Linked DNA regions of Alligator mississippiensis. The protein of the gene in region 1 purifies or fractionates together with the protein of each later gene. This does not show direct contact. Links are inferred from orthologs where the notes say so. Each region holds a gene or a part of one and is shown on either strand. Other genes may lie near its edges.

The links. The genes of interacting proteins can lie anywhere in the genome.
Region 2: the proteins of MAP3K14 (region 1) and TIMM13 purify together in Homo sapiens (affinity purification with mass spectrometry; 3 studies listed by BioGRID and IntAct, with this or other methods). This does not show direct contact. The link is inferred for Alligator mississippiensis from reciprocal best matches to the Homo sapiens genes MAP3K14 and TIMM13.
Region 3: the proteins of MAP3K14 (region 1) and CAD purify together in Homo sapiens (affinity purification with mass spectrometry; 3 studies listed by BioGRID and IntAct, with this or other methods). This does not show direct contact. The link is inferred for Alligator mississippiensis from reciprocal best matches to the Homo sapiens genes MAP3K14 and CAD.

Annotation. Positions count from the first base shown.
Region 1 is NC_081827.1:161,163,604-161,174,503, reverse strand, and holds the start of MAP3K14 (mitogen-activated protein kinase kinase kinase 14), read right to left. Parts: upstream 4,507-10,900; 5' UTR 4,414-4,506; intron 1-4,413.
Region 2 is NC_081839.1:11,748,320-11,758,431, forward strand, and holds TIMM13 (mitochondrial import inner membrane translocase subunit Tim13), read right to left. Parts: upstream 4,552-10,112; 5' UTR 4,512-4,551; coding exon 4,389-4,511; intron 4,260-4,388; coding exon 4,191-4,259; intron 2,592-4,190; coding exon 2,493-2,591; 3' UTR 1,531-2,492; downstream 1-1,530. UniProt on the Homo sapiens protein: Mitochondrial intermembrane chaperone that participates in the import and insertion of some multi-pass transmembrane proteins into the mitochondrial inner membrane.
Region 3 is NC_081824.1:144,095-154,729, reverse strand, and holds the start of CAD (CAD protein), read right to left. Parts: upstream 4,552-10,635; 5' UTR 4,445-4,551; coding exon 4,363-4,444; intron 4,166-4,362; coding exon 4,026-4,165; intron 2,742-4,025; coding exon 2,612-2,741; intron 2,535-2,611; coding exon 2,392-2,534; intron 2,105-2,391; coding exon 1,963-2,104; intron 1,632-1,962; coding exon 1,460-1,631; intron 1,076-1,459; coding exon 890-1,075; intron 1-889. UniProt on the Homo sapiens protein: Multifunctional protein that encodes the first 3 enzymatic activities of the de novo pyrimidine pathway: carbamoylphosphate synthetase (CPSase; EC 6.3.5.5), aspartate transcarbamylase (ATCase; EC 2.1.3.2) and dihydroorotase (DHOase; EC 3.5.2.3).

The DNA of each region.
Region 1 (10,900 bases):
TTACAACTGTCATTTTCTGTGAGTGTTTTAAGCCTACAAGAAGAAATCAACAAATATAATGTTCAGGAGCAGTTTCAGATTGCCCATCAGTTTGAAGCACACATCAGTGTTTCCTCTAACAGTGTCTTGATTTTTTATCAAAAGAACTCTTCTGAACAATGCATTTCACACAGGTCAGCCATAGCTCTTGCAACTGCTTTATACATTTAAAGCCTTAGTAATATTTTCTAACCAATATCTGGTCACCAAGGAAAAAAAAAAAAAAGTTTCACAACGGCAGGAGGGGGTCGGGAATTCAATCATCATAGCAACAGAGAATGATACATTCTTCCTTCTAGACTTGGTCTAAACCCTAAGTCTTTTGGGGACCTTGAATTGCCAGAAAACACACTTCACCAGTGGAAGCTAAAAGCAACTGAGGCTCAGGTGTCTGCAGGGTTAGACAACATGATAGTAAAAAAGGGTCTGAGCTTGTCTGAAACCTTCTACCAACCACCAGGAGAATAACACTTGTTCACAACTGCATTAAAGTTCTCTCTGGAATCTGTAGATAAGGCCTTGAAGTGTTGAGAAATTTGTACAAAGCTAAAAGACACTGATTTCCCTATATACAAACAGTCCTCTCAATATCCAATTAGTTCTTAAGGTTTCACCTCAAGCCTTCCTTCTTGGAAGCGAGTGACCCATTTCTCTACCATCTTCCATTTAGCTGGTACACACCCAGACTTCCTCCACTGCCCATGTTTCAAACAGAACTGAAATTAAAATGGTTCCGTTTTCTTCCCTGTTAGTTCAGGGCAGACCATGGGGCAGCATAGCTCTGGTTACCAACTATTGCAGAGCCAGCAAAGAGGAGCTTCAGTTTGTCTAAGCATGAATTAAAACATTTAGAAGACAGAGAACATTCTCCTGAAAAGTATTAAAATCTTAGGAGTATCTACAAAACCTTATCTGATTCTAACCTGGACTTCCATGCATTGTCAAGTACTCCTGTACAAAGCATGCTTGACAAAAGACTACTCATATTTTAAAAGGGTCACTATTAGTCTTCAGATCATTTTACTTATGTTAATAGCTGCAACTATTAAAACCAAAAAGAATTTTCAGTCTGTTTTTTTCCCCATTTTTATTACTTTACTTCTATTAGCTTTGTTATTGTGAAATGTAACTGGTTTAGTCTTTTTCCGTTCTCATGTACTACTATTGTATGGTTTTGGTTCCACATCTTCAAGGAAATATTTGATTAGATTTAAAAAAAATATTCCACTAACACTTAAAAGTCCTTGCACATATCTTTAGACAGACACTTAAACTCTTCTTTCACCACATAATTTCCATAACAGTGTTCTTTTCCTAGTATTGAACTGGACGTGACATTGAGACAATTTAAATGAATTCAGGTAAATGCAAAAATAAACTGTGTAATGCCTGTCACTCATCCTGAAAATAAATACTATAGAAGCTACAAACTTAACTGAAAACAGCTTCAGTCTAGACACATTTAGTTTTCTATACTACCCCAGCAGCCTTCAGGGCACATTAATAGATACAACAGCTTGATTCCATCCTCTCCCCACCCCCCACCCTCACCCCACCCCACCCCAAAGCACTTTTACAGGGAATTGACTCATGAATATCACTTCCCTAACTTAAAATAAAAGAGCATTTGAAGGATGCTGCCCAGTTAGGTTCTACATGAACCATGTAGCAGAACAGCTTTTTAACAATGCAATGTTGTTTGGGTAGACAGGACACAGCTATTGCCAAATATTACAAAATACTGTAAACTCCAAGGCCATTAGGCCATCTACCCTTACACTAAAATATCAAGTAACATCAGCAGGACATCAGTTTTCACTTAAATGGTTTTACTCAACTTCACACATAAGCTTCGTTTAACTATTCCCCTTCAGTCTTGTGAACCCAAACATTATTGCAGTGAGGTATGAGAACCAGAAAGTGAAACTGAACTGCTCAGTTTCACTGTTTAATCTTAGGAAATTACTATTAGTCAAATGCTAACCATTTTAAATGATGTACCATCTACAAATTCAACTTTTAGATTCATCTAGTCACTTCCAGGTTATCCATCATGTTACCAACATGCCAAAATACAAAAAGCAAGCAGTCCAACAATCTTAAGACGAAAGGACTCGCCCTCTCATGAAGCTGCTGTACAGCTTGAATCCAATGCTCTTTCCCTTCAAAATGCCTAATAATCTCAATGTTTCAAGGGTGTTGGTTGTAGCCATATTGATCTAAGGATATAGGCAGACAAGGTTCTTTGGGTAAAGCTGATATCTTGTATTAGACCAATTAAAATAGTTGGGAAAATTCTTCTTTGCAAGCTTTTGGGTACAAACATCCTTCTTCAGGCAGAGGGTAAAAGATATCACATTTACCCAAAGAACCTTGTCTGCCTAATAATCTCAATAGGCTTTGAATCATCTCCCACATGTTCCTAGAGGTTTTCATTCAGTTCCACACACACACACACACACACACACTTAAAAGGACTCCTGATGTACTATAAACATGATTTCAAGTTACCTATATTTCCGGTCACACAGTACATTTTTTTTTTTTAGAATCTTTATTTTCCCCAAAAGAAAGCTAACATTTAATATAGTTAATAACTGATGACTAATTCAAAACATATTCATTGCAAAGTCATTAGTTTTAGGCCAGCTAGATGGTGCTATGAACATTTATAGCACTTCAATGCTCAATACCTTGAATCAGGATTTTAATTCCCATCTGCAGTGTCCAACTCATAAAAAAGACCCATAAAAAGCAATCTGAAAGTTATTTATGCATGCCAATTTCATGATGCCATTTCTGATGTACACAGCAGGGTACTATGTACATATGTTTTCAGTTCAACTAATATCAAAAAGCAGCAGACAGGAAGCATCTGAGAACACCCACTGCAGTAACTTAACCAGTCCAGAAGTACTAGAACATTTTGCCAAAAATTGTTTAAAAGAAAAAGTGATATGGTCAAATGAGAACCGAGTACAAAGACAGTTTAACTGACTACAGATCTTATTCACTTTTATATTTTGATCAACTGATCCCAAGGTCTTAACTGCCTCATTCTCTCTCTCCCCACTGTAATGAATAACTTTGTAAATCTGTGCCTAGCAACACCCAATCAAAACAGCAAAGTCTGCAACTTAATCTCTTATCTGAAGTGCTTCTTTAATGCACTCTGCCTTAGACAGAAAGCAGGCAGGAAATTAGTTATTTCAAAAACCAAAAAGGAAAGTTTGCTTACTAGCAGCAAAACAACATCTAAGCTAAAAACATCTCTTTTGATCTCCTCTGACGATCTCACCAGAACAGAGAAAAAGGAAAAAAAAGCACAGCTCAGCTGAAGTAAATTCAAGGCTCCATCATCTAGGCTTAAAATACATATTAGACAAAACTTGCGGGGTCATTCAGAAGTACAACAACACATTTCCATGAAATAAATGTGACCTTGGTGCTAGAATGTAAGGAACGATCACAATCCAACACAGCACATTAAGGAAACACCTGGTGTCCACACACACACCCCTGCAAACTATTTAGAAGCCTGCCACTCTCCAGAACACTGCCTGGACCAAGCAGTCATTTTCCTAGCAGTATCCCTCAAAATGCTGCTGCTAAAAGAATTTAACTTCTGTGCAACTGGTGCAGAAAGCAGCATTCTGCAGCTTTGGATACAGTGAGCATCACCTCAAGAAAGCTTGAGATTTTATGACTCTGTGCACATATGCACACTTGTGACCACACATCTCCACACACGCACACTGGTGACCACACAAATCTACATCCACACATGACCACATGTGTGCACATGACCAGATACGTGTGTACACAAGCACACACATGTAAAGCTGCGATTGTATACGTGCACACACACACACACACACACACACACACACACAGGCATGCAAGGCTGTTCACACACGCCACCGCATGGTTGTGATTTTGTACATGTGCATATGTGGGTGTGTGCGTACACATAGGCAGAAGGTTGTGTGTATATGTGCATGTGGCATGGTGGGTGTACGACTACCACCCCACACGCTGCCGTCAGTGTGCAAGGTGCCGCTGTCCCCTGCCTTTCGCCGAGCGCGGGTGGGCCGGCCGGCCGGCCGGCCGGCAGGTGCGGCCGCGCAGGCGGCCCCCAGGGAAAGGCCGAGAGGCGCGGCGCGGTGCTCCCTCCCGCTGGGCCGGTGCCGCTGGGAGCGGCGCTGGCAGAAACTCGTGTCCCCCACGCGGCGGGGCCGCCGGATGTGTTCGGTGAGGAACCCGGCACCTCGTCCGCCGCCGGTCCCCGGCTCCCGGCGGGGGGATGGAGGTCAGACGTGAGGGGGTCCGACGCCCCGACCCCGGTCCCGACCCCAGCCCCCCGGCCGCACCCACCTGCCGCTCCGCTCCGGCCCGCGCCGCTCCCCGTCCTCCGACACTCTGAGGCGCCCAGGCCGGCCGGGCAGCACACACCCCGGCCCCCGCCAACCAATGGGCGCACGCCGCAAGCCACGGCAGCGAGGAGACCCCACCCCTGTATCCCTAGCCCTTCCAAGCCAGCAACCAATCAGCGCACCTTTCCCGGCCAGCAGCGCTCGCAACTGTCTGAAGACAGAACCACCGCCCGCCCACCGCCTCTTCTCTCTCCGATGATTGGCCGAGAAGCGCCTCTGTTTTCCCAGAAGTGGGCGAGGCTTTCTGCAAACCCTTTTCTTTCCCCCTTCCCCCGGAGCTGGGTGGGTGTTACCAAACTTGTTGTATTGTGCATGCGCGGCGTGACCGGGCTGCTTAAGGGGTGCCAGTCCGTACGCTCGGATGCTCCTCATCCCCGGGTCTAGGGTTGGCGCATACGCAGTGTGGGGCTGCCCGTTCCACGGCTGTTGGGTGATCCCAGCCCTTTCCCGCCACAGGCGCCCGGACCTTCCGGCCTCGAGCGCGGCTCGCAGTGGCAGCTGGACGCGCAGCCAACGCCCGCGCAGTTCCTGCCTCGCCCCTGCTGTGGGGGATGTGGCCTCTGGTGCCCCGGAACCTGCCCTGGGCCGTGCACGCAGGGCAGCCCCCCGCTTCCCTGTCCTGCTCCCACCTCCTCAGCAAATATCAGCAACACCCGACTGGGGCTCCCCAGTGGCTTTTCTCCTCCGCAAAGCCAAGGGAAGGCAAGTGCAAGGCAGAGGATTTTATTATTATTATTATTATTATTAATAATATATTTCTTGTTCCAGGTCAGATCAAAGAAACCAGTCCCAAATCATGTATCGCTCCAAAAACCGTATTGACTGAGCAGGCAGAACTCAGTTGTTCTCCACCCCATGCAGGGCGCTACAACCTGCCAGCATCCTCCATCCCAGCCTCTCACCCTGGGAATTCAGATACTCCCAAATCCATTGGCAGGCATCCTCCATGCATGCCCAAGCCCAGAGGTCTTGGGATTCGGGTGCCCCCACTTGATCCTGGCCCACAAGAACCTGAGATCTGAGCCAAAAGGCATAGAAGAAAAACCGCAACCTGACTCCCAGGTCCCCAAACAGGCACTCCCATCACAGGGCTCCCACTCCACTCCCCATCTTGATCCTGCTGATTCCCCTTCAACGCCTCTGTTTTTTCTTCATAAAGAGCACCAATGCTTTTTCCCCACCAGGCACTCTTTGCATGACTTGAGCCTCTCCTCCCACGCCCAAGCTCACTTCCAGGGCGATGATGCGGCATTGTTGGCTGTTTCCCAAGTCTGAAGCCTTGTTAGTAGTCTCTGCCTAACATGGGCTATTAGTTTCTCCCTCCTGCTCTAAAGCCACTGGAAAGGGACATGGAAAAAGGCTGTGTTTATGCTCATTTTTCCCCCCCTGCCACCCTTCTGGTTTAGCTGAAAAAGCACTACAAAGTTTACCAGGGAAGATTAAAGCTCTAAACATTAATCAACTATGCCCTGAACACTTGGTCTGGGCTCCCATGGTATTGTTGGATCCATAGAAGTTTTGTTCTTCCTGCTTTCCTCCCTGCTTCCAGTTTTCAGGCTGAATTCAAAACTCTTAATTTGGCATATGAAAACCTAGGGACTGCAAACAACATTTAATTTAGTGAAATTAGTCCATACAAAAAGGCAGAGAAAGCAGATCTCTGTGGAAGGTATTAGTTCTGACATCCACAAATTATTCTTTACAAGTTCTGTTGGAATTATGAATTGAGGCTTCCACCCATCTGTGGACCAACATCTACAATTTTCTCTCAGTCCTTAACTCTTGCCAACTTGTGTTGACTTCACTACATAGTTTCTTTCCCTAATGCTCTGCCATTTCTCCACTAATTTTAAATGTAGTTGGTGTCATTTTAAAAGACAGCAGCCTATAGATATATAAATAGATCTTTTTGAATTCAGAATTGGTTTCAGAATTAGTGGCCAAATATATCCTCAAACAGCTGTATTCCATTTTGTGAAAGGCTTATAATTGGCTGTGGTGAGTACAATACTGCCATCTACTGTAAGTAATGTCAGATTTATACACCTTAATCCTTTTCCAAGTAAATTATCCTTAAACTGATGTGCTTGAAATGCGTGTGAACAAGCAGGATCCAAGTTCCCCCTCTTTATATTAGCCTACGAAGTCTTATGGTGGCCATTGCTCAGTTACAATCCTACCAGTCAAGAGCCAGCTGCTTATAGGGCAGCATACAGGCAGAAACATACAGGGAAAAGGTAATGGAAGATCTCTGTTGTTAAATTTCCACCAACATTACTTTAGGAAATGTACATGTATCACCTAGGGATTTTCTGAACTACCACAAACTAAGGCAGTCAAAGGGAGGAAAAAAAATGAAAGGTGGTGGCACACAAATGCCGCTTCCATGTGGGGTGTACTTGAGATGCTCAGATGGATGGTTGTGCTTTCATGAAGAGAGAGATTAAGCTTTTGAACAGCATGAGTTAGTAATACATTTAAAATCCTCTTGCTGATTCTCCCTATTAAGGACAGACAAAGAGTTAATATACTTTTCAGCTTCTAGATTACATAGACAAATACACTTATTCACAGTTGTGATAGCAGAGATAAGTCAGTCTCCGCAATTTCCTGTTCTCAGATTGGGCTAAGAAATGCTTAACTTGAAAAAAACTCTGAGGGTAAGGAGAAATTAGGCCCCCAATACGCCCTGGCCACCTGTTTCCACCTCTTTGATTGGCTGAAGACGGATTCACTGCGACTTGTGTAGAAGTAGATGACATGCTTTGTGCCCTGGAGGAAGATGACTCATTAACAGCTTGCAGCAAGAAGGTTTCATATGAAAAAAACCAAGCAAGTTACTCTGACCAATCTTGAAACTTCAGCAGTAACCGGATCCTGTTTTTCTGGCTGAAGGTGCACAATTACTTCCCTCTACCTTGGGCATATATTGACTGAACGTTGTTATGCGCACAGACCTCTCTCTTCTACTCATAGTCTTGTCACACTGGCTATTTTTTTTTTTTTTAGTTCTTTGGTCTTACCAGTATGAGGAATCCTACATGGATGGAGCTACACAGAACTACCAAATAACATTATGACAACCTGAGGTTGCACAATAATATGGTGACATTGGATTATCATAGTCCATCATCGCAAATTATACTTTGTAGTCAGCAGGTTCTTCCTTGACTACTTAGATGTAATCTGCACTACAAGGTTTTGCCATCAGATTTCCAGTTCTGCCCACAAAAATTTGAGTTCATACCTAAAATTCATGGGTGGTGAGAGAAGCCTCTGAAAAGGCCACAAATAATCAGGATCTTTTTACTCTTATTTAGTACAGGAGAAATAGTCTTGTATCTAAATTATGCGACTGGGATCCTTGACTCCTTTTTTTCCCCCCCAACCCTGGTCCGATCAGCTTCTTTGTTGGACATCTCAGTGGAAAGTTTCAGGGTTGCACAGATAGGAATCCTGCCTGTCTATCTCCCTCTTCTGAATTCTTCCCTTATTTTTACTATAAAGAACAGTCACAGGGTTAGAACATCAAGGAAGTAAAAGAGAGGCATATTGGACTGTAATGCCCAACTCTTACCCTTACAGAGGCCTATATATTAAAAGGAAGAATTTCAGCCTCACTTAATTGGCCTTAAAGCCCCAGATCCTTATGTCACATGTCAGTTTTTTAAAATGATAGTTAAATTATCTAGTTCTTATGGTTGTAAAGAAAATATTGAAAATGTTAGTGAACACAATGTTAGTGTACACGATGTAGTAACAAAAGCATAGCATTCCTGACCCCTCTCCTTAGACATATTCAAAGTAAATATTGAGGGTCCCTATTGTTACCATACCAGTTCTCCCTTCATTGACACTGTCCTTACTGGGCACATCTACACATGCGGTTAATGCATTTGAATTTTCTGCACAGAAGATTCAGGTTCATTAAAGTGCTCCAGGGTGCATGTCTACACGTGCACACAGTGTCGGGAGCAAAATTGCTCTCAATAGGAGCATTTGAGTCCAGGGCTACTCCTGCCCTGCTCTGCCCCTCTGCAGGAGCTGGGTAGGGGAGGCTCCAGCCTCCCCTGGCACCAGCCCCAGGCTGCTGGGGGTCAGGCCTGGGTTCTGGAGAGTGAGGGGGAGGGCTGTCCTGGAGCGAAGGACAGCTCCAGCTGTGTGGAACTCAGGATCACAGTTCAATGGTGCTGGCTTGGGGTGATGCCCATACCTGAGCATGGGCTTAAGCAGCACTAGAACTGGGGTGGGGGGACATTGAAGGTGCTGTGGCCATCTTTTCTGTTGTCCTTCATGCTACCCCGACAGCTGGCATCTTCCTTTTCTGGGCGGACTGCAAAGCTGGACCACAGTGGCAGTGAGGTAGGGAACCAGCATTTTATTTTTATTATTTTTTTGTTGTTGTTGACTTCACAGACAATCCCAGACTTTGCAGTTTCTGCAAAATCCATGAAACCAGAATTTCAGTAGGCCCTACTCATAAGTCATGCTTCCCAGGCTTCTAACCATTTTTGTCACTCTCTGCTACAGTCCTTCAGATCTGCCCACATTCTTCTTGAAGTGTGGGGCCCCAACCCTGGACACAGTACTCCAGTTAGTCTGCAAGGTATATCTCTACCCTGCCTTCCGCCTGACTTCAGACTAATATCTATGGCTTGCATCCATAGATGCTTCTCAAGCAAATCCCAGGACGTCATTCTCCCCTTGTACTCGGCCTTGGTGAGGCCGCAGCTGAAGTACTGCGTCCAGTTTTGGGCTCCACAATTCAAAAAGGATGTGGAGAAGCTTGAGAGAGTCCAGAGAAGAGCCACGCGCATGATCAGAGGTCAGGGAAGCAGACCCTATGATGACAGGCTGAGAGCCCTGGGGCTCTTTAGCCTGGAAAAGCGCAGGCTCAGGGGTGATCTGATGGCCACCTATAAGTTTATCAGGGGTGACCACCAGTATCTGGGGGAACGTTTGTTCACCAGAGCGCCCCAAGGGATGACGACTAGGTCGAATGGCCATAAACTACTACAAGACTGTTTCAGGCTGGACATAAGGAAGAATTTCTTTACTGTCCGAGCCCCCAAGGTCTGGAACAGCCTGCCACCGGAGGTGGTTCAAGCGCCTACATTGAACACCTTCAAGAGCAAACTGAATGCTTATCTTGCTGGGATCCTATGACCCCAGCTGACTTCCTGCCCTTTGGGCAGGGGGCTGGACTCGATGATCTTCCGAGGTCCCTTCCAGCCCTAATGTCTATGAAATCTATGTAATATGGATAATTACTTCACTGAGTTCTTGGAATAGTTTTGCAAAGCAAATTATATTTGACAGCCTTAAACAAAACTTTTATAATGTCTGTGGGAATATCAAAGACATTTAGAATCAAAAGGCCTGGTACTGCTCTGATCTCTATTGGTATAAATCATGAATAGGTCTAATAAAGTCAATGGAGCAACACTGGCAAAAACTAGACAACAAACAACAAAACAATGGCAGAAGTGAGTGGAGAGGGAGAGTCTCTTAATACATTCATGGCTTTGGCTACAAATCTTATAGAACAAAAACACCTTCACGTAATGCATCATCCTTGGTTGGCTCAGACCACCAAACCATGCTGGAACAGCTGTTTCTAGAACCTTTGATCTAAAACACTTAAATATCTTAAGTCAGGTTTTTAGATTTAGAAGTCTAGGTTTAATTCAGACAGCCTAGGGCTGACTTCGAGGTGTCATCTTTCAAAGGGTGGCTAGTAGAAGGATTTGACTCTAAGGCTTAAGGATGAAGGCATACATTACGTTTAGACCATACTAAATTTGTGGAATGTTAAGCAGCATTAACATTAGAACTTGCTGTGAGCAGTCACATGTTAAGGGTTAACACCATTTCTTAACTGTACAGCTCTGACTTGCCCCTAGAGAACTGGTGAGCAGGGGTGTGGCTAGGAGCCAAGATACAGGGGACTGTCCCTGCTCTGGGTGGAGAAAGAGGAGGGTGCTGAATGTGGTGCATCTTGGGATGGTGGAGGACTGCATATTGCTGCACAGACATGAAACAAGCAAACTAAAGTTAGTCTAACACGAGCTAGGTAGCACAGTCCAGAGTTAAAATTGTGTCACATCAGGCAAGGGTTGAGATGCTCAGAGGGCACCTAGCATGAGTTAACAAACTTTAATGTGCAGACACTTGCATTTTAAGTGCCTTTAGTATGGTCAAAGAAAAGTATAACTTCACCCCTTGACAGTCTCCCCCATCAGGAGATGCGCAGTGCACTCTGTCCTCCTTCAGTGTCAGGATCACATAGAAGCTTATAAATTGGCTACATGGGATTCAAGCTAATAGTCATTTAGGTCAGGCAATAGATGCTCCTGCTTTTAAATCCAAAAAGCAAAAGTTCCTAGATTTGGTCCCTTCTCATTTGAGGGTCACAGTGTGAGAGTCAG
Region 2 (10,112 bases), on another chromosome or scaffold:
TACAGTACTTTTTTCTAGTCTGTACTTATTTAGCTTGTTAATATAATGTTGTATGTGAGGACATACAGTATTTAAATACCTAACTCTAGCCTGCGGGAAGCCACTGTTTCTGCTTGGGACACTCAGCCATGAAGCTTCTCCAGGGCCTTGTCATGCCATACCCTTATACTGCATTGTATACAGTGGCTAAGGCACTTACCTGGAAGTGGGGGGAACTTGTTTTCAAATCTCCACTCTACATAGTTTGAAGAGTGCCCTAAAAAATCAGGCTACAGGCTATATTAGGGCACTACCCTCTTTTGTAAAAGAGGTTGACCTATGCATGTGCAGGGCCATCCTGGGGGCGGGGCGGGCAAATTGAGGTGACTGCCCCAGGTCCCGCACTTCAGAGGGCCCAACGGAGCTGAGCCGGCTTTGCATCCGGCCACTCACCACCCCTTTATCCAGGCCCTGCACCCTGCTGCAGTCATCTCTGTGCACATGCAACTAATCAGAGATGAAACTCAAACCTCATCATCTTACATTGCCTGTAAGATCTCCTAGTCAAGTGCTCTAACAACTGGGTTTCTTAATATTCTGTAGTAGTGGTAACACATCTTGTTGTTTTTCAAGATCAAGGCATCCAGGAGAGGGTGTGTGTGGCTACAGATCCAAGAAGAATTAGGCATTAACCTCCTCTCAGGAACAGACCTCACTTCTCATTAGCATTTCCAACCAGGTGGCATAGACAGTTCATCAGGCTGGCTGCTGCGAGTCCCACTGCTACAACCATGCCTTTCTTCCAACATTGTATAAGGAAGCTTGATGCCTAACTCACAGCAGTGAATTTCACTGGGTGGCAGGTGATTAACATTACAACACTTTGCGTGTTTGCAGACCCCCCCCAAAAAATAAATTTAAAAACCCCAATCCTGCTTTAAACTCAGTGCATTCCTACACCAAGTCCAGCTCAGGCTCAGAAGAGGCAGCATGTTACTTCAACCCAGCTCACCCAATGCATGTAAAGATCAGCCATTTTAGCAGGGCTTTTTTAGCACTTTTATCTAATAATCAACTGTATCAGCTTTAGCGAAAAGTGCCAGAAAGTCCTGCTGAAGCACCTGATCTTCACCGACACTGCAGAGCTGGGTCAAAGACTGCTTCTTCCAGTCAAGTGTTTGTTTTTTTCTGCAAGCAGCCCCCATGCTCTTTAAGATCCATTACTCACCAAGTCTAAAGAACAACCAGTCTGAGAGAAGCCGGTGGTTAAGAGCAAGGGAGCACTTTAGGAATTGCAATTGCCAGTGAAGTTCTTCTGGGGATTATGGCCTGGAGCATACGGCCCTCATGTAACCAGCCTGCTCTTGGTCGGTTCCCCAAGGGGCCCAGTGGAATTGGTGCGAGTGGTACTGCCAGCTGCTAAGTGGTCACAGATATTTAATCATATACCTAGATAAGGGATTTGTCCCTTCTTGAGTGGCAGGGGAAGAACTCAGCTCAGAGATGGGAAAGAAAGAGAGAAGAAACAAGAGGGAACACACAAAGGCCCAATTAGTTAGGTAGCTGAATTCAGCTCCTTTAATCTTTACTACACATAATTCCATGCAGGTTTGTGCTCCCTGTTCATATTCTTTATGGATTTTCTACCAGTCTCCTCAATATCAGAAAGAAACCAGCAGGTCACATGGAAACAGAGTGACAGTCTCATAAAACAAATGACAATACTGATGTGGGTCTGGGACAGGATGGCGGGAGCCAGAATTTGAACTCCTTATAGGGGCAAATTGGGACACAAAGTCCAAAACATTCATCTTCCAGCTGATGAGGAGGGTACAGCAAGGATAGCACAATCTCACTGTATATGTAGCATTACCAGCATCCTGCACCACAGGCCAGTTTGCAGCACTTAACAGTATAATGGCCAGATGGGCCTCCCACCCTCACTTACAGAAACTCAGAACCTCTTTTAATCCACTAAAACTATGTCCCTAGGACTGCGACTGACCTTCCGTACCAGATGCACCAAACCCACAGCTAAAACCAGCAGGATAAAGCTGTTATACAGACTCACACATGCTTCCTGGGGAAAGGCACATAAGGGGGTTGCTCAATGCCCTATCTTTCCCAAAGGATTCCATGCACCTTGTAGCTCTTTCCTTAACCAGTGCCAGAGAGGTCCTGGGGGTCCATCCAGGCTCTTAAAGCAAACCCCTGGCAGTCTCACAAGCATTGGGAGAGAGTATGGCAATAACTGGCAGTCCAGCCAGATTTCTCCCAGGCTTTGTGAGCTCAAGTAGATTAATATGGGGTAAAAATATAAACAGTTCAATGGGGATTTATGCTCTGGCAGGATGAGAGCTGGAATTGCCAAATCACAAATATTTCAGTCCCACAATCCAAACTGGTCATTCCTTTCATTTTTAAGAAGGTCCATTTCTATTTATTCAGAATTCAGGTCTCTTCTCGCAGAGAAGAGGGTACAGAAGGGTGTTACCAGGCCTGCTGGAAGCCTATTACATGTTGGCTCTCTCCCTCTGCAACCGGGAGTTGTAGGCTCGTGAGACTGTGTTCCAGGCATCCATGTACCGGTCCATGCACATGGCGATGCATTTCTGAAATATAACAATAATACTTAGCTCTTGCACAGCACTTTTCACCCACAAATGCAAAGACACTTTAAAGAGAGAGAAACAGACAGATACAAATCCAAATCAAGCAAGCAACTTCCCCTGATCACCAGAGATCTGGGTTTTCCATTTCCCATGGAAAAATGGAGTAAACCACGGATTTTGCTTTCTACCAGAGGCAAATGCAGATTTGTCGTTTTACCCAAGAAACCCACAGATTATGCCATTTTGCAAGGAGCTGGGAGGGAGTGGGAGGAAGGTGGAAGGACAGGGGGCGTCATGTGCACAGACATGCATGTGGTCCCAGGCAGCCTGAGAGTAGCTCCCGCTGGTAAGATGGGAGAGGAAAGGGGGATAGAAACCCCTGTAGGGAGGGAGCTAGGCAGGGCTGGGGCTGCTGCCCAGTTGGGTGGGGCTTGAGAAGCGGAGAGGTTTTCTGCATGGCTACTCTGCTCCCTGCTGCGCAGTCGCAAGGGGGGAGCAGGACAGCAGGGAATAGCAGACCCCCTACTCGCCACTGTTTCCTGCCACCCTGCTTCCCCCGCTGATCGAGCAGGGCAGCGAGCCAAGAAACCACGCAGAAAACTTGCTCGCTGCTTCTCGCTTCCCCGCCGCCTACACGTGGGGATGCAGCGAGGGCAGCGGTGCAGGGCTGCACCCCCCAAAGCTGCAGCTGGCACTGGAGGCAGTTGTTTGGGGGCGGAGGGGGGCAGCCCTGTCCTGCTCCTGGGTGGGGCCCTGCAGCCGCACACTGCAGCCCTGGACCCCAAGCCCTATCCAGATGGGCAGCAGCTTCAGCCCATGCCTGCCCCAGGTACAGATCTGGGGGAGCGCAGGTCCCTCCTGCCCCCTGGAAGTGCATGCAGCAGTGGGGAGCCGCCCCACCTGAGCCCACGGCGGGGGGGAGCAGGGGCAGGGGGCTGTAGACCCCGGTCTGTAGCCCTGGCAGCTGGGGCCCCCTCCGGCAGGGCTGGGGGAGCAGGGGCACCAGCAGGGTATGGGAAGGGCTGTAGGAGGGGTGGGGGCCTTTAATTTTAATCATGGATTTGAGAAGTTTTAGCAGAGCATTTGTGATTTTTTTTTATCATCAGGAAAAAGCAGGATCCCTGTTGATCACCCAGCAGATGGGAAGGACAAGGAGTAGCAGCAGATCCATCCCACCCTGCAACAGCCAACCCGAGGCGTCTGCAACAGAGCTGTGTGCGCTGGGACAGCGCAGGCAGGCGAGGTGCGTGGGGCACGAGGCGAGGGGCTAGACCCTCCCCGACCCTCCCAGGGACCTCAGGCAAGTAGTACTTGGCCTGGCCTGGCCTGGCCTGCATCTCCCCACCTCTGCGACGGAAACAGTTCCCTTTGGGACAGCGCCACAGCGCGCTCAGGGAGGAGCTGCGCGGCAGATAACGCCCCGACCCCTGCACACAATCCTGCGAGGCCCCGTCCCCCCAGGAGAGCGAGCCCGGCCCCGGCATCCCTGCGGCTAGGAGCGACCCCAGGCTGCCGGGGGCCGGAGCCCTGGTGCCGGGCACGTCCTGGCGGCTGCACAGGCCTCTCCCGGCTCGGGCCGCGCGGGCGGCACCAGCTCACCTGCTCCGAGTTGTCCAGAGAGCTGCCCGGCTTCCCGATGCACTTGCGGAAACACTTGTCCGTCATCCGCTGCGGAGAGCACAGGTCAGCACGAGCACGCGCGCGCGGCGCGGCCCACGTGCCCCGGGCCGGCCCGGCCCGACCCCACCCCGCCGCCCCGGCCCCGGCCCCGGCCCCGGCCCGCCCGCCTCTCCTGACCTGCAGCAGCTCCTGCGCGTTGGCCACGGCGATCTGCACCTTCACCTGCTCCATGACGAGCCCCGGGTCCAGCTTCTCGTTCCCGCCGCCGGCCATGAAGTCCAAGCCGAACTTGCCGGCCATGGCGCAGTCCCCGCCGCTCCCGGCCTGCTCCGCGCCGCCGCCCGGCACTTCCAGCCGGGCCCCGCCCGCAGCGCCGCCCCCGGGGCGTGGAGCCCGCCCCGCCCCCCGGGAGCCGGCGCGCCCTGCGGGGCCCCGCGGCCCTGGCGGCAGGAAGGCGGAGCTCTCGGGCAGGGATGCGGAGTGCTCCAAGGCAGTCCCACGCGCCCCGGACAGCTCCGTTATTGCTCCGCGGTCCATACATAAATCACGATAAGCCACAAGCGCGGCGCTGGTCTTGCGCGAGGGGCTGGAGTCCCACCAGGCCGGGCGCCGCCCCTGCCGCACGCCGCGCACACGGGAGGCCGGGGCAGGAGCGGCCCCGCGGCCGTGCCGGGGAGTTGCGGGCGCGCTAGCAAGAGATGCGCAAGCACGGGAGGTCTGCCACGGCTCCCACACACCTACCCAGCTCCTTTTAATGTTGTTCATCATTGTGCCCTAAACGCAAGGCCCACCAGCACTACCGCGGCAAACGGCCTGAAGATTGAAGTGGCTAGAGCTGGCCCTCCACAAGGGCTACTTCCTACTGCTGCTGGCAGAGCTATTTTGGAGGGCCCGGCTCACGCTTTTTCTTTCATTTAGCGAATACAATAAAATGAAATGTTCTTAGCTGTGGTACAGCTTTGTTATTACGGCAATATCTCAGTCTCCTTCTTTGCAGGCACCATGAATCTCTTTCTAGGATGATAGTTATTTTATTTTACCAGCTGAGCAGTAAAAAAAATAGGCTTTAGGTGAACTTTGGCTAGTTCTTCCCCGCTCTGGGATATTAAACCAACAGACAAAGATTATTGTGGCAAGCTTAACCCAACCCTTCAATTTCCAAACCCTTAAAATTTGTCCTTGTCTACAACTAATTTGAGTTATAAATCAAGTGATCAGCTGCCCCTCAAAAAGCTACAAATTAACCATTCATTTTTGTTTTGCTCTGTTCTTGTAAAAGGATCAGCCACAGCTGGTTTCTGTATGAAACAGAACTTTTAAATACACAATTGCTTCAACTATGCAAATACAATGTAAAATAGACATGAGATTTGCTGGGCCACATTTAGTATTTGAATGGTAGATCTACAAGAAAAATCCAGGTGCTGCAGGAACTGGTATAAACAGATGGGATCAGGAGAAACTCAAGGTTACAATACATCAGACTTTCAAACAGAACTCAGGCCGAGTCCCGGTCCAGCGCTCTTGTCGCTGGCAGTCCCGATACGAGAATAACAGCCTTCCAATAAGCAGAGATATCATCGGTGAGGCCACAGATGACTCAGAAGGCCAAACCATGATCCATGTGTTCAGTAGTCCTAGCCCAGGGCTTTACCCTCTAGGTCACAATGCTTTCAAAAAAACCTAAAGTAATTCAAGTGTGTTCCTTTCGTTCAGTTTGCCCACTTAGAAAATTAAGATGTGCACGTACCTCCAGAGGGGAGGATTGATCACTTATGTTCAGAAAATGCATTGGGGATACCGGGTGCTAAGCATTTACTGTGAACAGATGTTTCTTAAGAGACCCAATGTGATAACTCAGGAGACTTCAATGCAGGTGGTGTCCTCTAAACCAACCAATACTGCCAAGTAAACAGGAACAACTTTATTCAGTTTAAATGCAGCAACTAGAACCATAAACCAGTGGACAGTATTTGGTTGAGATAAAAAAAAAAAAATCACCAGCTGGATATCTAAGCCCATCTTAGACTGATAGTCATCAAAGGCTGCATGAGGAAAAAAGTTTGTGGCTTAGTCCCCATTCTTAGTCGGTGGGAAGCTATAAATGCTAAGAATCCCAATTATCCTACTATTGGTCTTTTTGGGAAAAGGGGCTCGGAAAAGCAAAAATTGGTTTCTAAAGCAGGGTCTAAAAACCAACTAAAATCCCAGCCTCAGCTGCAATGCGGCTGACACACTAACTCTATATTTGCTTTTCTTAAGCATTTACCCATTAAGACTGTAAGGGTCAGCATATTTGCTTCAAAATAAAAAGGGCTTATTTATTGCCCTGCACCACACCAGATCTTCTTAGGAGACAGAATAGCAACGATGACACTCCTTATCCTCTCTCTACATGGGTATGCAACATCCCTGGGTATGCAACATTTCTCTCAGCCTTTGACTGGAATTTGGTTTGTTTTAAATAAAAGGAGGAGACAAATAAAATGCAAAACATTTATTGGAGTGTGTTGTACAAAAAAGTTTCCAGTCAAAAAAATGTATATTACAAATCATCAAAAGAGACAAACATTTGGCATGCATATTCTTAAAACAAAACAGAACCAAAACAAGTGTTTGAAATGATAAAGTCTAGATCATTTTATAGTTTTTATAAGCTTAGATCAATTTCCATTGTTTTTAATATACTTCAATTTGCAGAACTTTTTCATAATTAAGAACCTCAGTAATCCACTTTAAAAGAAAAGCTCCATTTTACAAGTAATAGTCAAGATGGCCATTACCCTAGAACTGAAGCTAAATACATGTTGTGTTAAGAAGTAGAAGAAACTGTTGCATTAAGTCAAAGGAGCCCCAAAAAACCCCATCACTGGTTCAAACATGACAGTGTTATTCTGTCCAAATGCAAAGCTTCTTAGCTTTGTTCAAAATAGCTTATTGCTTGCAATTTTAGTGTAATTACACAGCTACCTAAACCATTTGAATGTCAGTCCTACACAGGCTAGATCCAGGGCAATAATTAAATGAAGCAGATAACAGATTTAGCCTTGGAAGAATTAAGATTCTTTATACCTTTTGAAGTGTTTTTTTTTAATAATCCCTAAAAAGTCATACAGTGCATTGTGCTTCTTTGAATTAAGTGATTCAAAATTAAAAAATCTTTTTATTCTCTAGACCTTAGCATTTCAGGAAAGGCATTACGTTTACAAATAATAATTGCATGTAAATATGGTCTTATATAAAAAAAAAAAATCACTGTAAAATTATTTTCAAGTGGTTTAAAGCTAAACATACTGAAGGGCAAATAAATTCTGTTTCCCAGGCCATTTTAGAAATTGGACAACAGAAAAAAATCTCCAGCACAATTTATTTCCACATTCAGTGAAATCTATGCTTTGAAATGCAATTACTCTGTAACCTTCCACTCACTGGATTCCATACAACCGTTTTTCCCTTCCACTCAGAGGTTGGGAACAGTGGCAATGAAAGCCAGCATCCAGCATGGATATGCCTTTAATTTAAAGATTACTTTCAAAATGAGATGGGCAGACTAATAAAATGACTTCAGACAGACTAAGTGAAATAAGTGGCCAACAAGGCAAGCAAACTAACACTATCCTCCTCCCGTGAGAGAAGCCAGACCTGAAGAAGGGTATATTCTGCTCAAAAGCTTGTCACACATCTCTCCCAACTATATGGCTGCCCCATAAAAATAGCATAAAAAGAACCCTTGCTTCTAACATTTCCTGGACCATCATGGCTACAATACCACTCCAACCCTACTTCTACTAGCAAAGAGGAAGGCAGAATATGAGAGAGGATACTTTGAGCTCTTGTGAGAAAAAGATGCCTAAAAGCCTCTCCCTTACTGGCCCCCCATCAGGTGTCAGGAAGGGACTTTACACAGCAATACAAAGTTTTAAATATTATTTTACATGTATAAAGAATATTCAAATCCCCATCTTAACTCATTCTGTGGGTTCCTGTACTTTCTCTTTTAGCTGGACTGGATACGGTTTGTCCTGGTGCTCATCACTTCAGGGATGAAGTCAGGAAGGCCAAAGTGCAACTGGAGTTGCAGCTAACAAGGGACCTGAAGGGTAACAAGAAGGGTTTCTACAAGTATGTCAGTAGCAAGAGGAGAATCAAGGAAAGTGTGGGTCCCTTACTGAATGCGGGAGGCAACCTTGTGACAGAGGATGCAGAAAAGGCTGAAGTGCTCAATGCCTTTTTCACCTCAGTCTTCAAGCAAGGTCAGCTCCCAGATGACTGCACCAGGCAGCACAATTTGGGGAGGAGGTGAGCAGGCAACAGTGGCAAAATAAGATTAGGGACTATTTAGAAAAGCTGCACATATACAGGTCCATGGGGCCGGATGGGATGCACCCAAGCATGCTGAGGGAGTTGGCTGATGTGATTGCAGAGCCACTGGCCATCAACTTTGAAAATTCATGGCGATTAGGAGAGGCCCTGGATAACTGGAAAAGGGCAAATATAATGCCCATATTTAAAAAAAGGGAAAAAGGAGGACCCAGGGAACTATAGACCAGTCAGCCTCACCTCAGTCCCCGGAGCAGATCCTCAAGGAATCCATCTCAAAGTACTTGGAGGAGAAGGTGATTAGGACCAGTCAGCATGGATTCACCAAGGGCAATCTGATTGCCTTCTATGACACGGTGACTGGCTTTGTGGATGCAGGGGAAACCTGAAGATGTGATATACCTTGATTTTAGCAAGGCTTTTCATATGGTCTCCCACAGCATTCTTCCAGGCAAGCTAAGGAAGTATGGGCTGGATGAATGGACTGTAAGGTGGATAAAAAAACTGGAGCATCAGGCTCAGAGACTAGTAATCAATGGCTCCATGTCTAGTTGGTAGCCAGAATCAAGTGGAGTGCCCCAGGGGTTGGTCCTGGGGCCAGTTTTGTTCAATGTCTTCATCAACAACCTGGAATATGGCATAGACTGCACCCACAGCAAGTCTGTAGATGACAACAAGGCTGAGGGGAGTGGCAGATACACTGGAGTGTAGGGCCAGGATTCAGAGTGACCTAGACAAATTGGAGGATTGGGCCAAAAGAAATCTCATGCGGTCCAACAAGGACAAGTACAAAGTCCTGCATTTAGGACAGAATAATCCCATGTACTGGTACAGGCTGGGGGCTGGCTGGCTGGGCAGCAGCTCTGCAGAAAAAGACCTCAGGGTTACAGTGGACAATAAGCTGAATATGAGCCAACAGTGTGCCCTTGTTGTAAAGAAGCCTAATGGCATCCTGGGCTGCATCAGCAGGAGTATTGACAGCAGGTCAAGGGAAGTGATAATTCCCCTCTATTCAGCACTGGGAAATTGAATGGCATAATTATTCTGTTATAACTCCATCAAGAGGATGAAGCTAAACTGTTTTCAGTGGTGGCAGATGACAGAACAAGGAGCAACAGTCTGAAGTTGCAGCAAGGGAAGCTTAGGTTAAATATTAGGAATAATTTTCTCACTAGGAGGGTAGTAAGACACTGGAACAGGTTACCCAGAGAGGTTGTGGAATCTCCATCCATGGAGGTTTTCAAGACCCACCTAGACAAAGCTTTGGCTGGGATGATCTAGTTGGGGCTGGTCCTGCTTTGAGCAGGGGGCTGGACTAGATGACCTCCTGAGGTCCCTTCCAACCCTAAATTTTCTACGATTCTGAATCATACACTGAATTAATTTCCCCTTCACAGTACTGTGCACTTCACATTGTAATCTCAGTGCTAACTATACACAACAAACTAACCTGGCATTTATAGTACTGGCTCTTAGAAGGCATTTTTTCCTGAGATTTTTTTTTTTTGGCTCCTACAGTGACTGCACATTTTGATGGCTAAGCAACCCAAGGTGACCTATAATTTGTTATAAACTCTTTTA
Region 3 (10,635 bases), on another chromosome or scaffold:
AGGCCACAACACCTGCCAGCTGTCGAGATGGGTGCAGGGGGGTTCTGGGGCCCTGCACCCCTAGCTGCTGACAGGCAAAACTTGTGCCAAGACTGCATTTGTCTTGGGGCAGTTGATTGTATTGATTCTTTCTTCTCTTTAGCCTGGTTTTGTAGGTGCTAATTAATGCTCCTTAAGTCATTATGTACTAGCTAGGTCCTGTGTATTGAACTGGTCCCCGAGTCCCTGGTCCCTGAGTGAATCATGATTGATTGATTGGTAACTGGTAACACAGCAGCTTAGCAGCCATGCCTGCAGCAATGTCTCCCCTCCTCGTCCCAAGCCAGAGACAGTCAGTCCCACAAGCACCCATGGCATGAGTTTTGCTTGTCCGCAGCTTGAGGGGCAGTTCCCCCCAAACCCCTACACTGATCTTCTTGAAACTTGGCAGGTTTTTGTGGCCTCAGTAAGAGCTACTACTCCTGCAGTTTTCACCCTGCTATGTGGTAATGCCTAGACATGACATGAGTTTTGCTTTCAAGCATTTGGGGTGCTGTTCCCCCCACACCCCTATACCTATCTTCTTGAAACTTAGCAGACTTCATCCTCTCTGCAGAGTCTACCACCCCTGAAAATTTCATCCAGATCGGATAAAAAACAACAAAGCTATAGACATGTTATTGTTTCCCCATTATACCCTATGGCTGGATCTCCGAGGTGGCTCCGAAGCTCTTCGGGAGCTCCGAACCGCTTCGGGAAGCCTAACGAGGCCAGCGCTTCCACCCGGAGGTGCTGCTTCGGACCCTGAAGAGTCCGAAGCCTCGCACAGCCCCAGCACTGCCCGACCTCGCCTGGAGTGCCAGGGTGGCAGCCGCCCCACAGCCCATTCCCACCCCCTCGGTCTCCCCACCTGAAGAAGGGCTTGGTGTTGTGCACAATGCCCTCATTGGAGTGGTCGTTGGCGTTAGTGAAGAGCGGGGCCCAACCAGCAGGCAGGCTGCCTGGCTCCACTGCGAAGCCGTGGTTTTGCGAGGTGATGAAGCAGCGCTTTGAGTCCTCGTGGATGCATGGCTGGTTGTGTCCACGGTTCCCATACCTGTGGGACATGGCAGGGCAGGTCAGACACATCTTGCAGAGCTCACGCTAAGGAGGGTGGGGGTACATTGGCCATCCCCACCCCAGGCAGGGGCCTTCCTGCAGCACCAGTGGGCATGAGAGGAAGGCAGCTGGTTAGGGGTGCAGGAAGGAAATTTCCCCTCTCTGGGCCCATGAGAGACCCGGGAAACCCCATGGACTGGGCTGAGGGGTTGTAGGGGACATGGGAGGGGGGGCTCCATGCCAGCGCTCAGGGCCACTCCCATGGGCACAGACCCAGCTGGGGCAAAGCCCTGAGCCCCCAGCCCCCCACAGCTCTGTGCCAGGAGCTGGGAGCCCAGCCCAACTGGCCCTGTGGCTGAGGCCTCCCTTCCCCCACACTCACTTCATCTTGTAGGTCTTGGCGCCCACAGCCAGCGAGAGAAGCTGGTGCCCCAGGCAGATGCCAAAGACAGGCTTGGGCTGGGGTGCAGCCAGCACGTGGCGCAGGCCAGCGATAGTCTCCTGGCAGCGCTGTGGGTCTCCTGGGCCATTGCTAATGAACAGCCCATCAAACTCTGTGGGGCAAGGGTTAGGATTAAGGGACAAGGATGGTCGGAGCAGGCACTGCCCCTGCCCTGCCCAGCACACCCCCAACTCCCCTTCCCCCTCTCCCAGCACTGATGGCTGAGACGATTTGTCACTGGGTCTAGCACCATTTGGGGTGACTGTACCAGGGCTCCAAGCCCCAGGTGCCTCCTGTCCCTCAACCCACCCTGGCAAGCTCCAGGCCTCCTGCTCTTGTGCACATGCAGCTGGCTCCACCCTTGGCACCTTGGCCCTCATACCCACACACTCAGCCTTACCACTGACCGCCTCTGATCCCAGTTGGATGGGGCCCGTACGCACCTGCACTGTCCAGGGGGTGGTCCCAGGGCACCACAGTCACGGCTGCTCCACGCTGGCACAGGCATCGCACCTGGTTGTACTTCAGGCCGCAGTCCACAGCCATGATCTGGACCGAGCCGCTGGGGTTGAACACTCGGGGCTCCTGTGGGGTTTGAGGGTCAGAGTCCAGCAGCCACATGGCCATCAGGCCAGGTGCAAGCCCCTGCTGACCCAGGACAACAGGAGCATGGGCCCCAGCCTGAAGCTGACAGCACTTCCTGAGCCAGCGGGGAGGAAGGGCACAGGCAGAGACCCCCAAGACCAGCAGGACTGGAGGGGAGTGGGGAAACAACCTAGTGCCCAGGACGCTTCTGTCACCCATGTGCTCAGCACTGTCCTATCCTCCCCTTGGCCCCCACCCCCTCCACGGGGCAGAGGGCCTGGCCATACCTTCAGGGAGACCTCGTGCACCAGGTGCCGCGTGTTGGGATCCTCGAAGGGCAGGCTCTTCTCAGGGGTCCCATCTGGCACCAGCTTCCCCAGCAGCGTCCCCTTCTCCCGGATTCGCTTTGTCAGTGCACGGGTGTCCACCCCTGGGAGCAATGGGCATTAGCACCAGAGCTCTCTGTAGGCCCCACCCCACCGCACCCCACCCCCTGCCCAGGCCCACCTTCCAGGCCGGGGATGTTCTGCTCCTTCAGCCACTGGTCCAGGGAGAGGGCCGCGCTCCAGTGGCTGCAAACCTGGGAGCACTCGCCCACGATGAGTGCTGCGACATGGATCTTGCTGGACTCGAACCACTGTGTGCAGAGGTGGGGTGAGCAGGGTGGGGAGCAGGGCCTGGGGGAGCAGGGAGCTGCCCTGGGGCAAAAGGCTGCAGAACTGTGCGTGCCCCATTCTCAGGGTGCAGCAGACACTGGGGCCTGGCCCTCTCCCATATGGGGCCCAGGAAGGGACCCTGGCACCCTGGAGGGGCATGCTCAGGCTTTCCTACTGCCCAGAATCAGCCAAGGCAGGAGGAAAAAAGAGGCCCTTGGAGAGGGCAGAGGTGCTGGTGGTGGCATCCCTGGGTGCACCAATGTGTAACATGCCACCAGCATGAAGAGGGCAGGTGTGACCCAGGACACGCCAGTGAGGGGCTAGGAAACCCATTGGGCCCAGGCCAGGGACATCACAGCCAAGGAGCATGCATTTACTGTAGAGAGAACCAGCTAAGCTGAAGGACGGGGCTGACACATGGGCAAGGGGGACATATGGCCAGGAACACCCCCAAGGCCAGACTTGAGCAGAGGACCTAGAGCAGGGTGGAGAGGGGTTAGGCCAGCTGCCCTGCAGGACCAGTCAGGACAGAGCTGGATCCACGTGGGGGGGGGGGCGACAGGGCACCTGCCGGCAATAGCAAGGCTGGACTCTGACCCTGGGACTCCTTACTGGCAAGTGTCCTGCAACAATGAAGGACTGGACATGGCCCCCAAGATGCCTCCAGGGAGCCAGAGACACCCCTGGCCCAGCTACTTAGGGAGGACAGGCTGGAACTCCTCCTGGCAGCCCTGTGGGCCCCCTGTGCAGGCCTGCAAGAGGCTGCATGGGCACGGGCTCCCTGCCAACTCATGGCAGAGCTGTGCTGATGCAAAGCCCCAGGGGAGCCAGCAGTCCTGGCACACGCTGGCTCCTGGGCAGCGATGCTAACGCAGCCCGACAGGTGGCATGGCTAGTATGCAGCCGCCCAGGGCTGCAGATTCAAGGCTGGCTCCCTAAGGGGAGAGGCACTGCCTGGCGCCACGAGGCAAGGCAGCACCCACAGCACAGCAGAGGGGCCCTGCCCTGGCCCAGGGCTGAACGGCAACCCTGCCAGCCAGCCAGCCCCAGCACGCAGCGTCTTTTCCCAGCGGCCGCAGACCCAGCTGTGCCCCTCTGGCCAGCCCTGGAGGACAGCCCTGCCAAGCTGGACAGTCGCCGGGGCCCACGGGAGTCCGGGCTGCTCCGGCCAAATTCACAGCAGAGCCGATGCCAGCCTGCCGCCGGCTGCCAGCAGCCCGGGCCTGGCTGGCTCTGCGGCCCCCGCCAGCACCCCCGGCACTCACCCGGCTGAGGCCGAGCGGGTCGGGCTCATCCTGCGGGACGCCGTAGTTGCCCACGAGGGGGTAGGTCAGCACCAGGACCTGGGACTTGTAGGAGGGGTCGGTCAGGGCCTCGGGGTAGCCCACCATGCCGGTCTGGAACACTGCGGGGGGGCGGGGCGGCGTCAGCGGCTCCCCGGGGCGGCACAGCCGGGCAGCGGCCCCGGGGCCCAGCCCAGCCCCCGCCCCCACCCGCGGGGGCAGCGGGAACGGGCCGGGCCGGGCGGCCCCACGTGCCGCGGGTCCCCGCTCCGGTGGGCCACGGGCAGAGCCCAGGACCCCCGCCCCGCCCCGCACTCACCCACTTCGCCGGCGGCCGAGCCCGGGGCCCCGAAGGGTCGGCCGCGCAGCACAGCGCCGTCCTCCAGCACCAGAGAGCCCATGGCCCGGCCTGGCAGCACGCGGAGGCACCGGGGCGCGGGCCACGTGCGCGGCGGACGGGCGGGGGCGGTGGCGGTGGCGGCGGCGGGGCCGAGCGCGGCGCAGGCGGGCGGCGGGGCCGCGTCAGCCGAGGGGCCGGATCCGGGGCGGAGTCGCGACAGCGCCGGGGTGGGCTCCGCAGCGCCGGCCTCCCTCGCCCCGCCCCGCCCCGCCCCGGAGCCTCCGGCGCGCGCCGCCCGGGCGGGGAGAGGCCTGCGGGGCCGGCCCGGCCCGGCCCGTCTCGGGAGCCTGCGCCGGGCACCCGGCCGCACGGGGCCTCCGCTGGGCCGGCCCGGGCCTGTCCTCGCGCGTGCCGCGGCGCGGCGGAGGCCTGCAGGCGCCTCGGCCGGGCTCAGGTCCCACGCGGGGCCGGCGCGCGTCTCCGGGGCCCGGTCAGGGTTCGAATGGCGGGGCAGCTGCGGGGGCTGAGCCCCCCGAAAGAGACAACAGCCCCCTGTAAGATTTGAAAATGTGAGCGGGGTCTCCGATTTTATCAGAGCTTCGTGAAGGGCAGCCAATTGTTTTGCACTCCCTCCCCGCACAGTTCGAGCCCTGCCCCTAGTCCGAGGGTAGCCCAGTCCAGACAAGTCAGACCTTGCAGAAGAAGGCACCCCCCAAGCAGGGGGGAAATCCCTCCTTGCCCCAGTGCAGCTGGGACTCAGCCTGAGCGTGGGGGCAAGACCCTCCAGCCAGCACTCTGCCGGGTTGGAGCCAACAGGAGCATTGGCACGGCCCAGCCCCATCCCCAGCGCCTCTGGGAGAGGCTTCAAAACCTGACACATGGAGCAGAAAGGGGGGTGGGGGCAATCAGCACAGCCCAGAAGCCCGGGACACCACCACAGCAGAGCACAGGCATTGCTGGGCCTAGATCCTCCTGGACCAGTGCCCATCCAGCCTCTCCTTGACATCTCCGCTGGTGGGAAGTCCTCCCCTGCTCTGATGGGGAAGACGTGTTCCTGGATCTCCAATGTAAACCTACCTTGCTGCAACTTCCAGCCATTGGTCCACGTATTCCTTTCCAAAGGGGTCACAAAGTGCCATGCCACAGCCACTGCAGGAAAGACACAGGCTACCCTTGAGGGCTGGAGCTGGGAGCACGCTACACCACACACCTGCATGGCCCATGTCGCCAGGCACCCCAGTTGCAGCACCCAGAGGACTTGGCCGCACTTGCTTGCTGGAGGATGCCCCTGCTGCAGCAGCACGCAGCCGGTAAGAGAGCACCAGGGCACCCGGGACAGGTTGCTCCAGCCAACCTGCACACCCACCCTAACACAGCCTTCCTCTTCCTTTGCCTCCCAGATGTCTGCAGTCACAGAAGAGCCTGTCTGCAGGCAAGCCAGGGAGAGCACGAATGCAGTCCCGCACTGCCACAAATTGTGCAGTCGAGTTTCCTGTGTGGGGAAATCCCAGGGGTCAGCACACCTGAAGTGCAAGGGGTGAGCCTCACCCTGGGGAAACACCACTTTGTTATTGGTAGTATTGTTAGTATTATTGTGATGATGACGATTATTGTGTTGGCTACAAATGTCCAACTCAGGATCCTTAAAATTCTGGTTTATTAGGCGGATTGAAACACTGTAATGAGTTAAATCATAAACCTTGGGGCTGGTCCCCCCCCCCCCCACACACACACAGTAGCAAGCTACAGAGTCAGGTATACCTATCCTACAAGTGCTGGAGTCTGCCGTCAATGGCCAGTCAAGGCTTCTTTCAGCTTGGTGTTATCCTCCAGAAGGGGGTTGCCGGCTGGTCCTTCTGGCTGGACAGGTCAGGTGCTGGTCGAGTTGGAAATCAAGAGGGTGCTGCTGAGGGTCACTTTTCACTGCTTTTTATCTGTCCTTGGCAGACTTTGGTGACTCCCCAGTTTTCAGGTTTGCCCAATCCAGGGGTCATTGACCCTCATGGGACTTCCCCCCTCGGTGGCTACTGGATGACATCTGTCAGCCCCCGGGGTCATCCACATGTACGTGCAGGTTTGGGAGTCCATTGATGAATTTTGAATAGGGCTCTGGGAGTGGTCGATCTGGAGATATTCAGCCCAAAAGTTGGTCCCCGGCATTGAATAACTCAGGCCAGGGCTTCTAGCCCTTGATCAGTGACGTTTAGAGATTTCCCGGTTGTTACATTGTCTTCTATTGAGTTCTTCAGTTGGTTGATCTGCAGTTTCCTAGGTGTTAATGGCTGCCTGCTACCATGTTACACATTCAATCACTGATTCACTCACTCTTTCAGGGGCCAGCCTGATACAGGGAAGGGCAGTTTGTTTCCTGCCCTTGTTAACATTGTTACAATGTATAACTTACTTATGAAACTAAACACATTTAGTTGAAAGTTGAAAGGTGAGGAGTATAAAATACAAGCTACAGAAGCAATGCCATGGCACACAAATAGATAAAAGTACCAAAATACACAGGGTGATACAAAATGCACACATACAAATTTTAAAACACAATTCCTTATCTTAAAGTGAAAGAAAGAGGAAGGAAGAAAAGGTAGAAGAGGAAAAACATATTTAAAGAGGGGAGAGCAAATGCAGGCAAGAGGAAAAGGGGGCTTTCTGCTACAATTGTACCAAAGTGTAAACACATTTCTCGCACTTTGTTGCTCCAACAATCCCGTTGCTGGAACACTGCTTTCCACCACAGATGCTTCAGAACAAAGCCAAGTCCCTCCTCAGCATTTCATGTCCACTAGTCTTCCTAACGGGAAGGAAAAGAACAATCGTGTTCACACAGCTCTTGATCTCAGGGCCATGTCACACTGCAGCCAGCTTCCATACAAAACAGGCATAGTTTTAATTGTTCTTAAATAGCGATCACTAGCCTTTTTGTTTCCATTTGCCTTTGGCCTCCTCTGCCCCCAGGTCCCCTGTATAGCATGACCGGGCAGTCTGAACAGTGAATTCCACCCTGGGAAAACCACCTTCTTTTTGGTCTGAAGTTTAACAAGAGAGCACATTCACTGGCCATCTAAGTCTAAAGCCAATGAGATGCCAAACCCAAACACCCAAAGCTCAGTACAGTCCGTGGTACCCACTTCTCATCAGTTTCCCTCAGCAAACATCTGTGCAGCTGCCCTTGCTCAAGGGAGTGCCCTGCTTGGGCCTGAACCTGGCCCTGGCACCACCCCCCACCCAGCACAGCACTGCTCTCAGTACAGGGCAAACATGTAGGAGCCCCCCACGCTGCCCATACTCAGCGCCTTGCTGCCACAAGTCTTGCTCTGTCTGTCTCCACATGCTCTCCCCGCGCTGACATCACACTTTCTTTCCCCTTTTATTTGTGTGCCCTGCACACCTTCTGGCCTGGGCCACGTGCAGAGAACCCCTGGGCACAGCTGGTCCTGCTACTGCTCCCCCTGACCTAACACTCACTGTCTCTGCCTCATTCCGGTCTCTGGAGGCTGCCAGGCCAGGCCTGCGTGGCCCGTACTCAGCACCAGGCTCTCTCCTGACCCCAGTGGCACTGTGCAGGCAGCTTCCCTCAGCCACCGGCATGCAACTCTGCTCTAAGTTCCCTGTACATCAGCTCCATCCTGCTGCTCTGGGTGCCCTACGTCCAGAGATGAGCTGCCCTGCTGGGTCCTCTGCCATGCGCAGGGCTCCCCTGGCCCCAGCCCAGGAGGCATTGCTGGGGCAGCCTGGGTCTGGGCTGCAGTGGAGCCATGGACATACTCTGCTTGTGAGCCTGCAGAGCGACCAGGCCCTGGCCTGCCCTGGGGTGGGGGCAGAGGTGGCCTTCAGAGCCCCAGGAGCAGAGGCAGTCACACTGCCCCTGGCCCCTTGGTAGCCCTGGGGCCTTCCCAGGAGTGGGGGTAAGCTCTGGGCCGGGGAGCCAGATGGCCCCAGGAAGTGGGGCATGCAAAGACTGGGGGCTCAGGTCAGACCCCTGTGGGCCCAAGTGAGAAGCCAATTCTAGTCAGGTCCTTCCTGTAGGAGCCCTGGGACCAAGGTAAGAGTGACCCCCACCCTTTGGGCAGGGAGAGGCCTTAGCTGGGCTGATGCCGGGAAAGGCCAGTGGGTCCAAACCATTGAGCCTTGGCACTGAATGGGCCATCTGGGCCCATGTCGGGGGCCTGCCCTTCACCCATACAGGCAGGGATGCTGGGGTGCAGGGACAGGGGCTGCATGTAGGAGGCTGGGAGTGTTGGCGTGGAGGTGGGGTGCAGGCTGGGAGCCCTGGAGTCGCTATGGGGTGGAGGCTGGGGTGTGGCAGGGGATGGGGCAGCTTGTGTTGGAGGCCAGGACCGTGATCAGTGTCCTTTGGAGGCTGTGTGCACCCACTTATGGCCCTGCCCGCACCTGCAAGGTGTTTGGTCAGCAGGAGGAGAAAGCAAGAGTCCCAGCAGCACGGGGCAGGGAAGGCCGATGCAGCAGCGCCACAGGAGAGGATGGAGCCTGCTTGGCAGCTAAGGGCAGGAGTAGATGAGCTGGTATTGTATCTAGTGGGTTATGGAATAGAGAAGATCCCACACAATTTACTGATTCGTTTTGATGCACTGGCTGGGGGAGTAGTTAGTTACTCGCACGATTCCACAATGATTACACACTTAATTCATACAACACAATTTTATTTTAAAATTCTTTGCTACGCATATAACACTGCTTAGCTTTAAGAAATACCACAAACATTAAGAACACAATAATTACATATATCAGAAACAATGCTCCAAATGCACTTCCTTCCCAAACTTCCTAAGAATTAGTATTACAAAAACAACTACAATTACAACTAAAAGTTAAATTTGAATCAATACTATTATTTTCATAATATACTTACAATCCTAGAATTCCGAGAAGCCAAACACCTAAATATGGTTTCATTCCTCAGTAGTACAATTTAATGGGTTGGCCTCAGTAGTACGGTTCAATGGGCTGGCCTCAGCAATACGATTCAATGGGCTGGCCTCAATACTGATAGGACTAAGTCCCCTTCTTTCAGTCCCTTTCGGGCGCTCTGCAGCTTCAGCATGAACTAAGAGATTCGTGTTCATGGAGAGGGTGGTTCAGGTGATCAGTCTGATCCGGCCTACACTTGCAATTCTTCCTTCGTTGTTCTGCAAGTATAGTCACCTCCAATTTGGGAGAGTAGGTTACAGTTTTTATTGAGTGAGTTGCTGTCCTGGGCCACTCCTACCCAAACCTGTCATTACTCCCAAATTTGGCTCGGATCTTACTTTACAGATTCTTTTACTTGGTAATTAGTTTCTTTTGTTGATCATTTTAATTACTTTGGGGAACTTCCATACCACTGCAAGTGACCTTTTCTTTCCAATCTTGTCAAAAGGCCCTAGGGTTTGATCTCTCGGAACTCAGGATATTTGCTTAAGGGTCATTTTTAGGTTAACTTTGTAAAAACCCTCTGAAGATAAAATTCAAGAGTTAAGACTTTGAGCAAAGTCAGGATCTTTCTCACGTAGACCAAAACAATGGCCTAGATAAGGAGATAAATCTTGTCTTCTTCCTAAACTGGCTAATGGGCAACCATTACAGACATTTAAACTATTTCATTCAATATGACAGGTATGTGCCTGGGAGCCATGGACTGGGGCAGGCCAGCTCCTGGGGCTGCTCCACTGCCCATCAGCCTGTCTGCGGTTGCCAGGTGCCTGCTGGTCCATTCGCTGAGTTGCACACGACTGCCCTTCTTCCGGGCAGCTTGCAGCAAGGGCATGGAGCATTGATACACCTATATCATCTAATCTCCCTGTGTCCCATCTTAGCCTGGAGGCCGAGGGCTGCATGGAGCCGGTCTCAGCGCTGCTGGCCTGCATCCAGATGGCTCTGGTGCGGGTGGCATGGGCAGCCAAGCAGCTGGAGCCAGCTGGAAGCATACATGGCCTTTCCTCCTCTCGCCTGGCTCCTGGCCCCTGCCAGGGGAGCGGGCCAAGGCGGGGAAGCACCCAGAGGTAGAGCAGGGGCAGGAGCAGGCCCCTGGGCCCCGACCCGCACATGGCCTCCGCCGAGCACCTTGGCATCCTATCAATGCCACTGGGGGACTGTCCCAAAGAAGCCTGACCTTAGTTCTGCCCAGCCCAAAGCACGGTTTGACCATGCCAGGCTGCCAACTAAGAGCCCCCATGCTGCTATACTATAATGGCTTGAATAAGGAGCTGGCTTTTGGGCTGGGATTATGGCTAGAAATTCTGCTTG